Nothobranchius furzeri: one gene and its partner. The protein of the gene in region 1 purifies or fractionates together with the protein of each later gene. This does not show direct contact. Links are inferred from orthologs where the notes say so. Each region holds a gene or a part of one and is shown in the gene's direction. Other genes may lie near its edges. The genes, in order: rcc1l and trub2.

Region 1 (3,922 bases):
TAGAGAATTTTCTTTAAATTTGTTTTTTTTAACAGAGATCTGTGTAAAAAGAAAAAGTGTGAATTATTTCTAAAAATATTAAAGAAAATCTAAACAGAACGCATTAATACAAATTACTTCTTTTTTTTTTTTTAAATTTACTCTCAGCTGTGTCATCTTTAATTTGAAAGGAAATTCCTACCATTGTTTTGTTATTACACAAAATGGTTTTGCATGCTGGGGTTGTTTTTTTCTTTGAGTAATTTAGCAAATAAAAAATAAAGTAATCTAGCATCTGCAGCTCTTAATGTTCTTTCTGGGAATAGTTTTTTATTTAACAAACTTTTGAGTCAACGTGGACAATGTTTTCATCCTTTTTTAAGCATTTTAAACTTATTTCTGCTTCTTGTTTTTAAACATTTTGATTTATTTTTGATTCGTGTGATGTTTATATTTTTATTGGCACAGGATCTCCACAGGGCTGTGTACTTTCTCCTCTGCTCTTCTCCCTGTACACAAACTGCTGCACCTCGAGCCATGACTCTGTTAAACTGATCAAGTTTGCGGACGACACCATCCTCATCGGGCTCATCTCTGACGGTGATGAGTCCGCCTACAGGAGGGAGGTGGATCGGCTGGTGTACTGGTGCAGCAGCAACAACCTGGAGCTTAATGCTCAGAAGACAGTGGAGATGATTGTGGACTTCAGGAAAGTCACAGCCCCATCTCTCCCCGTCGTCCTGACTGACCTCCCCGTCACCACTGTGGACTCCTTCCGCTTCCTCGGAACCACCATCACACATGACCTTAGGTGGGAGCCATCCATCAGCTCCCTGATCAAAAAGGCCCAGCAGAGGATGTACTTTCTGCGGCAGTTGAAAAAGGTCAAGCTGCCGGCCCAGATGATGGTGCAGTTTTACACGGCCATCATTGAGTCCATCCTCACCTCCTCCATCGCTGTGTGGTACGCTGGAGCCACAGTTAGGGACAAACACAGACTGCAGCGCATTGTGCGCTCTGCTGAGAAGGTGATTGGCTGCAGCCTTCCATCTCTCCAGGACCTGTACGTCTCCAGGACTCAGGGGCGTGCAGGTCGGATAGCAGCTGACCCTTCTCACCCGGGTCACAGACCTTTTGAGCCGCTTCCCTCAGGCAGGAGGTTACGGTCCATCAGGACCAGAACCTCCCGCCATAAGAACAGCTTCTTTCCATCTGCAGTTAGACTTGTGAACTGCTTATAAACACAAAACCATGCTGGTTTTCTGTACTTGACACAACATCACGTTATCAGCCATGTTACCATTACCAGCCATTTTTTATAGCTGAAAGTTTTATTCTATTTTATTCTATTTTTAATCTTATTGTTCATGTTATATGTAGCACATTAGTACCAAAGCAAGTTCCTAGTTTGTGAATTGTTTGTTCACGGACAATGGCAATAAACCTATTCTGATTCTGATTCTGGTTTCAAATTCCCTTTAGGTCAATTATGTTGAGTCGTGGTGTTGTACCCTCCAGTCCAGCAGGTGGCGCTCTGTCCTAAGGGCTTAGCGTTAGCTGTGATCACAACTGTACTGGGAAAATGTTTGTTAGCTCTTATTTAAACTACCCTGAAATATATTAGTCGACTTTCATTTATGCTTTAGTAATTTATTCAGAGCTCATAACCAGTCGTTCGGACGTTGTAAAACACTCGTTAAAAGGCGATAAAAGGTAAGTTTACCCCTAGTTTCAGGGCTGCGTGGACACGAAGCGGAGGTGGAACTCAGTTCATTAAGCCTTAAATTTAACTCAAATCTGCATGTTTTCCTGAGCACGGAGGAGTTAGGAAACATTTTATTAAATTATCCGCATTTATAAAAGCCTTTCTAAGACTCGGCCATATTGCAGTTTGAAAAACATTTGCAATTTAAAGGTTTTCGACAAAATGTGAGCAAAGATAGCATACGTGAAAGCACCAAACTTGGTGTAATATCAAAATACAATTTTGAGAAACCTCGAACAGGTACGTAGTACTTCCAGCTGAATTTCCTGTCTTGGCATAATTGTACTTAAATTATAAAACTAAACTTGACTGAATGATACATTACTTTTAATTCTAAAAATATAAGGATGCATAAATAAAATATCAAACATGAACATTATAAATACCTCATTAAAGGTGCAGTATGTAAGAATGTAGTGAGGATTTTACAGTTAGAAAATCCCAGAAGCGTCTGCTTCAGTCATTTTGGAAGTAAGGTTATACTGAAACACTTTGAATGTTTGTGTTTATTCATTTCGCAGATGCTTTTATCCAAAGCGACTTACAATTTATAACCTATAGGGCATGTTGTGATCTGTGGGGGAAACCGGAGGAAACCCATTCATGCATGGGGAGAACACGCAACTCCACGCAGAAAGGCCGCAGCCGAGGTTTGAACCTACGACTTTCGTGCTGCGAGGCAACAGTGCTAACCACTGCGCCACCATGCCCAGCTGGCTGTGGGGATTGACAGTTTTTCTCCTTTCAAAACAAAGGGAGGAGGGACATAGCTACTATTTACCATCAGTGACAGGGTTTTTCCTGGCTCAAACTGAGGCAGAGGTGGTACCATCCTGACCATGCGCCAGCACATGCATACTCTGTGTATTCAACTGACTCACTTTTTAAAAGGCAAATTATTATAAAAGACTCAATAATATACCACAACGGCTTGCCTTACTTTCTGCGCCAGCAGTAATATGACTCACATCTGCAGCGGTTCTGATCCGTAGCGCTGCAGGATGCAGAATAAACAGGATGGTGGGGAATTTTCATCCGCTTGTAGAGTTTAGTCTTTCTTAGTTTTACCATCATCATCATATATTTTTCTGTGCGCCACTTGATCGTGAGACTGCTATCCGTTAACTTTAGCATTAGCCAATCTGAGTGTAGCTGCACTTTTGATCCCAGACTTTGTACCGGTTCTGCCTTTGCTGGTTCCTTTATTGTCCTCCACTGCATCCAGATGACCACACTGTGCGCCAGTAAAAAAGCATTTTTCTTACACGTAACTTACTTTTGTTCAATAAAGTTCTGGGGAAAACAGAAATTCAAAGATGTTGCACCAGTGCTACGTTTAAAAATAGACAGACACGCACAGACAGTTGTTTTCGTCGCACTGTACAGCCCTGCTCTGATATGGAAGAGCCTGGGGGAAAATCAGGACGTCACTAGCACCAACCATAGATATGTACCAACTAGCGAGAAAAGCTATTTTTGATTTATTTCTGCAGCAGTTTTAGTGCTTTTCGGTGCACCGCTGCTGATACAGCGTCCCTCTTGTGGCGCAACTCTGCAACTGCAGTTAAAATAACATCCATATAGCTGTGGACAGAGTGAAATCAGGCTGGGGCGGCACAAAATTAGCTGGAGGTGGCTGCCACACAAATTTTAATGCAGGAAAAACCCTGAGTGAGTGTGGGGTAGTCATGTCTCCTGCGAGCCAATACTGCAGCGCCGACAATTGTAATTTGACGACTAACGGTAAAAAGCTCCTAAGTTGTTTAAAGTGGTTTCAGTAACCAAATTTTACCACAGACATTTTTACTTCATTTCTACATAATGCACCTTTAAATTTTTTTAAAACTATTTTCACATTTCAATATTTTCAAAGATATGTTTCTACAATTTGGGGCTGCGCAGTGGTGCAGTGGTTAGAGCTGTTGCCTTGCAGCAAGAAGGTCCTGGGTTCGCTTCCCGGCCTGGGATCTTTCTGCATGGAGTTTGCATGTTCTCCCTGTGCATGCGTGGGTTCTCTCCGGTACTCCGACTTCCTCCCACAGTCCAAAAACATGACTGTTAGGTTAGTTGGTCTGTCCAAATTGTCCTTAGGTGTGAGTGAGTGAGTGAGTGAGTGAGTGTGTGTGTGTGTATGTGTGTGTGTGCGCGCATGGTTGTTTGTCCTGTGTGTCTCTGTGT
Region 2 (3,922 bases), on another chromosome or scaffold:
ATGAGAACTCATTCTCATTTACGACGATCTGGCCAAGAGGCAGCAGCAACAGACATAATTTGCTTTCAACCAAAGAACAACAGAAAAGATAAAAACAAACAAGATAAAAATATAAAAACATAAGTCAGACATAAAGAGAAAGGACTGTTCTCATATACATTATGTATGAGCAATTAAAGCAGACTTAAAGCAATCTAAGTACTCAGAAGCAGGCACGTTGATCAGAAACTGATTGCAATGAATTATTGAAGGCAGTGATTTACAGTTTCCCTGTGAGTGTACACACAACTGTGTATCCCTGTTGTTTAACACTTCCTTTGTCCCAAATCTGCGTCTTCTCTGCGACATAGTGTTTGTTTTCATGGTTTGTTTACACCTTTACACACTTAACGCCATCAACATGTCTGTAGACATCCCAGAATGACACGCGTGGTCACGTGTGATCCCGAGCCCTGAGGAAACAAGCCTGATGTTTCTGTCAGGTGTATAGTACTATTTCCCTATTCAACCCTGGGGAAATTACTTTTAATGTGACAGTCAGCCGTTCGGATGCGTTTAATTTGCTTTAAGCGCCTCGTGATTTTTATCTTGAGAGGCGTTATAGAAATGATATTTTCTTCTTCTTCTATGTGGGGTTGGGTGGGCACGACGACATATCAGGGAAAACAGATCTCTACACAACACCGACACTTCCAGTCTTACTTCTTTTGCTGCAGTTGGCCTAAATATATACGTCAAAATGCAACAAATGTACAACACCAACATATCTCAAAGTCGACGACGTTACCACTTCAAGTCCTCTTGTAGTTCTAAACAAGGTTATCCAATGTGTTTCCTTTTCTACTTCTTCTTCCTTTCCGAAGGAAGGTCCGACTTTGCTGCCATCTGTGGGCAAAAGAAGCAAATGTCGCCGACTTTTCTGAAAAAAAAGTAACAAAAAAAATTACTACTTATTTCAAATAGAAACCATTCACTAATTAAAAAAAGAGACCAATCTCGTAAATTAAACAAATACATATGCCACATTTTCTCAATTCCTGTATTTTCTTCTAAAACTACTGCTGCTTTCCAACACATCCACTCCAGCAGGGGGCAGCATACAATCAGCATAAAGCCATTACACACATCATGCGCGCATGCGCAAATACACGTGCAGGACGGCTTTAGCAAGCGTTAGCATCAGTAGGTAAACATGTAATTTATGCTAGATGAAAATAGGTTGCTTTTTCCCCAACACAATGGCAACTCCAGCTATTCGGATGTTCCGGAGACTAGAAGGAGTTTTTTGTGTTTACAAACCTGCCGATGTTCACTGGAAACTTGTGCGGGACACGATAGAGACTAATCTTCTTAAAGGTGAGACACGACTTTAGTGTGAAATGCTATCAGTTTCTTATAAAATAGACCTGGAATGCCTGGTTGTGTGTCTCCAGGTGTAAACGCTACACATCCTCAGCCAGTTCCTCGTGAGGTTCGGTTCTTGGTGAGCTCAAGCGATGAACCTGGAGCAGCCAAAGGACTCAGAGTGTCTCCAGCCGCGGTCCCTGTCCTGTCGAAGCACCCACTAGGTATGTAGATCACCTGCATATTGTTTTATAATTGGTTTCGGATGCATCATGCACTATGTCTAAATGTCTAAAAGCTTTGTGGGGTTTACGTTCACAAATGAAAAAAGGACCAAAACAGGTTCAAAATTTTAGTTAAACATTTTAAGATAGAAATGTTCGAAAGTGTCGATCTACACCAGCAGCCTGCTGGGGGGACACAATTCATCCTCCTACAAATGCATTGTTGATCCATCGCACCTTTTGGACTGAGCCTTAGCTTGCGTCTCCATGATTCAGCATAGAGGTCGACCGATATTGTTTTTTTCTATTGCCGATACCGATGCATCAATAGGAGACACGGTCAGCTGATGCTGATATTTAGACGTTTCCCACCTTATTTTCATGCTAAAATGTCACTAATCACATCAGTGGATGCACAACATTTCTGAACTCTGAATTCAACTAATTGTTAAATCTTAACTTGGTGCGCTGCTCCGCGTTAGTCAGATACCTAAATAAAGTTAATTTAGAGAATGTATTATGCGGATGTTATTTGTGAATGTAAAAATACATTTAATTTAATTTGCAATAGCACCGTGCTGCCCAAGGATGTGCCTGACTTTAAATCAGCTTTATTAAGGACAAATATCGGCCCGGTGTAATTCAGCATTCAGTAAGTAGTGTACATGAGTGGGTAGAATGATGCATATTTTTCATGTCTTAGTGACTGGACCTGAATTCCAGCAAATCAAAGTTGGAGTGGGCCACCGCCTGGATACTTCGTCCTCCGGCGTCCTCGGTACAAACTTCCACTTGATCATCGGATAAAATGTCTGAATTTTATCAAGAAAATTCATAAAACTTTCTATCATTTCTGTGTTTAAGTTCTTGCTGTCGGGAATGGAAACAAGACTCTGAATGATCTGTACAATACACGAATCACTCGGGTAAATTCTCATTCCTGCTGGTTTGACACGGCATGGATTTGTTTCCTTAAGATGTTTTATTAAGTTATTTCTGTTTTGCTTTTCTATTAAGGACTATACATTAGAGTGTGAATTTGGGATGGCAACGCATGATTTCTCTCACACTGGTCGGGTTTTGGAAAGGTCCACTTATGGTATTTAACTATCGTTTTTAGCAGTTAGATAAATTAGCTTCATTTTGTACTTACAGATATCCGAGGCTATAAAAATGCAAATGTACCTGATTTGTTTTTGTCCTTTAAACGTGATCTGAACAGATCACATCTCAGAGGATAAGCTGGAGAGAGTCACTGCAATGCTGGAAGGAGCCAATCAGAAGGCTTTGAGAATGTAAGATAATGTGTTTTGCTGGACGTTACTTTGAAATCAGATGTTTGTGAGTCAACCTGACTTGTTTTTATCCTAACAGGTATTCTACGGTAGACATGGGCTCACAGGAAGCATACGAGATGGCGGCCAAAGGTTTACTGGGTCCAGACGGAAAATCGGCTCCTATTTTAACGGGGTTACGCTGCATTCACTTCCAGCCTCCCAAATTCACTTTAGGTAATAAGGACAGTCAAATATTTAAAAATTCCCATAAATCTAGTTAGAAACGTGTTTATTCTGTGTTTACAGAGGTGCAATGCCTCAACGAGACCCAGAAATATTTGCGTAAAGTTGTTCATGAGATCGGACTTGAGCTGCGCAGCACGGCGGTGTGTAAAGGAGTGAGGCGGACCAGAGACGGGCTCTTCACCCTGCAGGACGCACTCACACGTCACCACTGGTCTGCTGCGGATGTAATGGAGGCCATTTATAAATACCACTCGTCAAAGAGAAACCAAAAGAAAATCCTGTTTCCCATCAGGGAATCCACGTTAGAAACATCTGGAAGCAGACTGACAGGCACTCATCAAAACAAAGATGCAGCAGCTGGATGATCTGTTATCGAACGAATCAGCTCTAAGAGCTGTGTCTGAGCCTGAATCCCACTCTACTTAAACACAGTTCAGCTCAGCAGGAAAAGACATTTTCTGATCAGAGACGTTGGATTATGAAGAACCCAAAATAAGGGTGGTTTCTTCTTTTTGCTGTTTCAGAGCCACGGGGGCTGGTATCATTCCCAGCATCCACCAGGTGGAAGGTGTCAAGATGTGCTTCCTCATCAGACTCCTCCCACCTGTCATGCGTACACCAGGGTGTGCTCCATTTATCTAAATGTGTGTCCTTGGGCTTGATTTGGTAGAAATAAGGTTGAGATAATTTTGTTTACACTTGTGTGTGTTTCACTGAAATCTGTTTTGAAACTGGTCTCATGCTGTCTGTGATAAAGTTTTCCTTCTCAGAAAAATCCGTTTTACCTAGTAAATCTTGTAACAATTTATTTAGTAAAAAGATTTTTCTTTG

What was found.
Region 2: the proteins of rcc1l (region 1) and trub2 purify together in Homo sapiens (affinity purification with mass spectrometry; 3 studies listed by BioGRID and IntAct, with this or other methods). This does not show direct contact. The link is inferred for Nothobranchius furzeri from reciprocal best matches to the Homo sapiens genes RCC1L and TRUB2.

Annotation. Positions count from the first base shown.
Region 1 is NC_091750.1:67,887,914-67,891,835, forward strand, and holds the start of rcc1l (RCC1-like G exchanging factor-like protein), read left to right. Parts: upstream 1-1,494; 5' UTR 1,495-1,692; intron 1,693-3,922. UniProt on the Homo sapiens protein: Guanine nucleotide exchange factor (GEF) for mitochondrial dynamin-related GTPase OPA1. Activates OPA1, by exchanging bound GDP for free GTP, and drives OPA1 and MFN1-dependent mitochondrial fusion. Plays an essential role in mitochondrial ribosome biogenesis.
Region 2 is NC_091743.1:66,845,966-66,849,887, reverse strand, and holds the start of trub2 (pseudouridylate synthase TRUB2, mitochondrial), read left to right. Parts: upstream 1-1,124; 5' UTR 1,125-1,208; coding exon 1,209-1,356; intron 1,357-1,433; coding exon 1,434-1,568; intron 1,569-2,271; coding exon 2,272-2,346; intron 2,347-2,432; coding exon 2,433-2,494; intron 2,495-2,585; coding exon 2,586-2,667; intron 2,668-2,790; coding exon 2,791-2,863; intron 2,864-2,942; coding exon 2,943-3,079; intron 3,080-3,151; coding exon 3,152-3,456; 3' UTR 3,457-3,922. UniProt on the Homo sapiens protein: Minor enzyme contributing to the isomerization of uridine to pseudouridine (pseudouridylation) of specific mitochondrial mRNAs (mt-mRNAs) such as COXI and COXIII mt-mRNAs.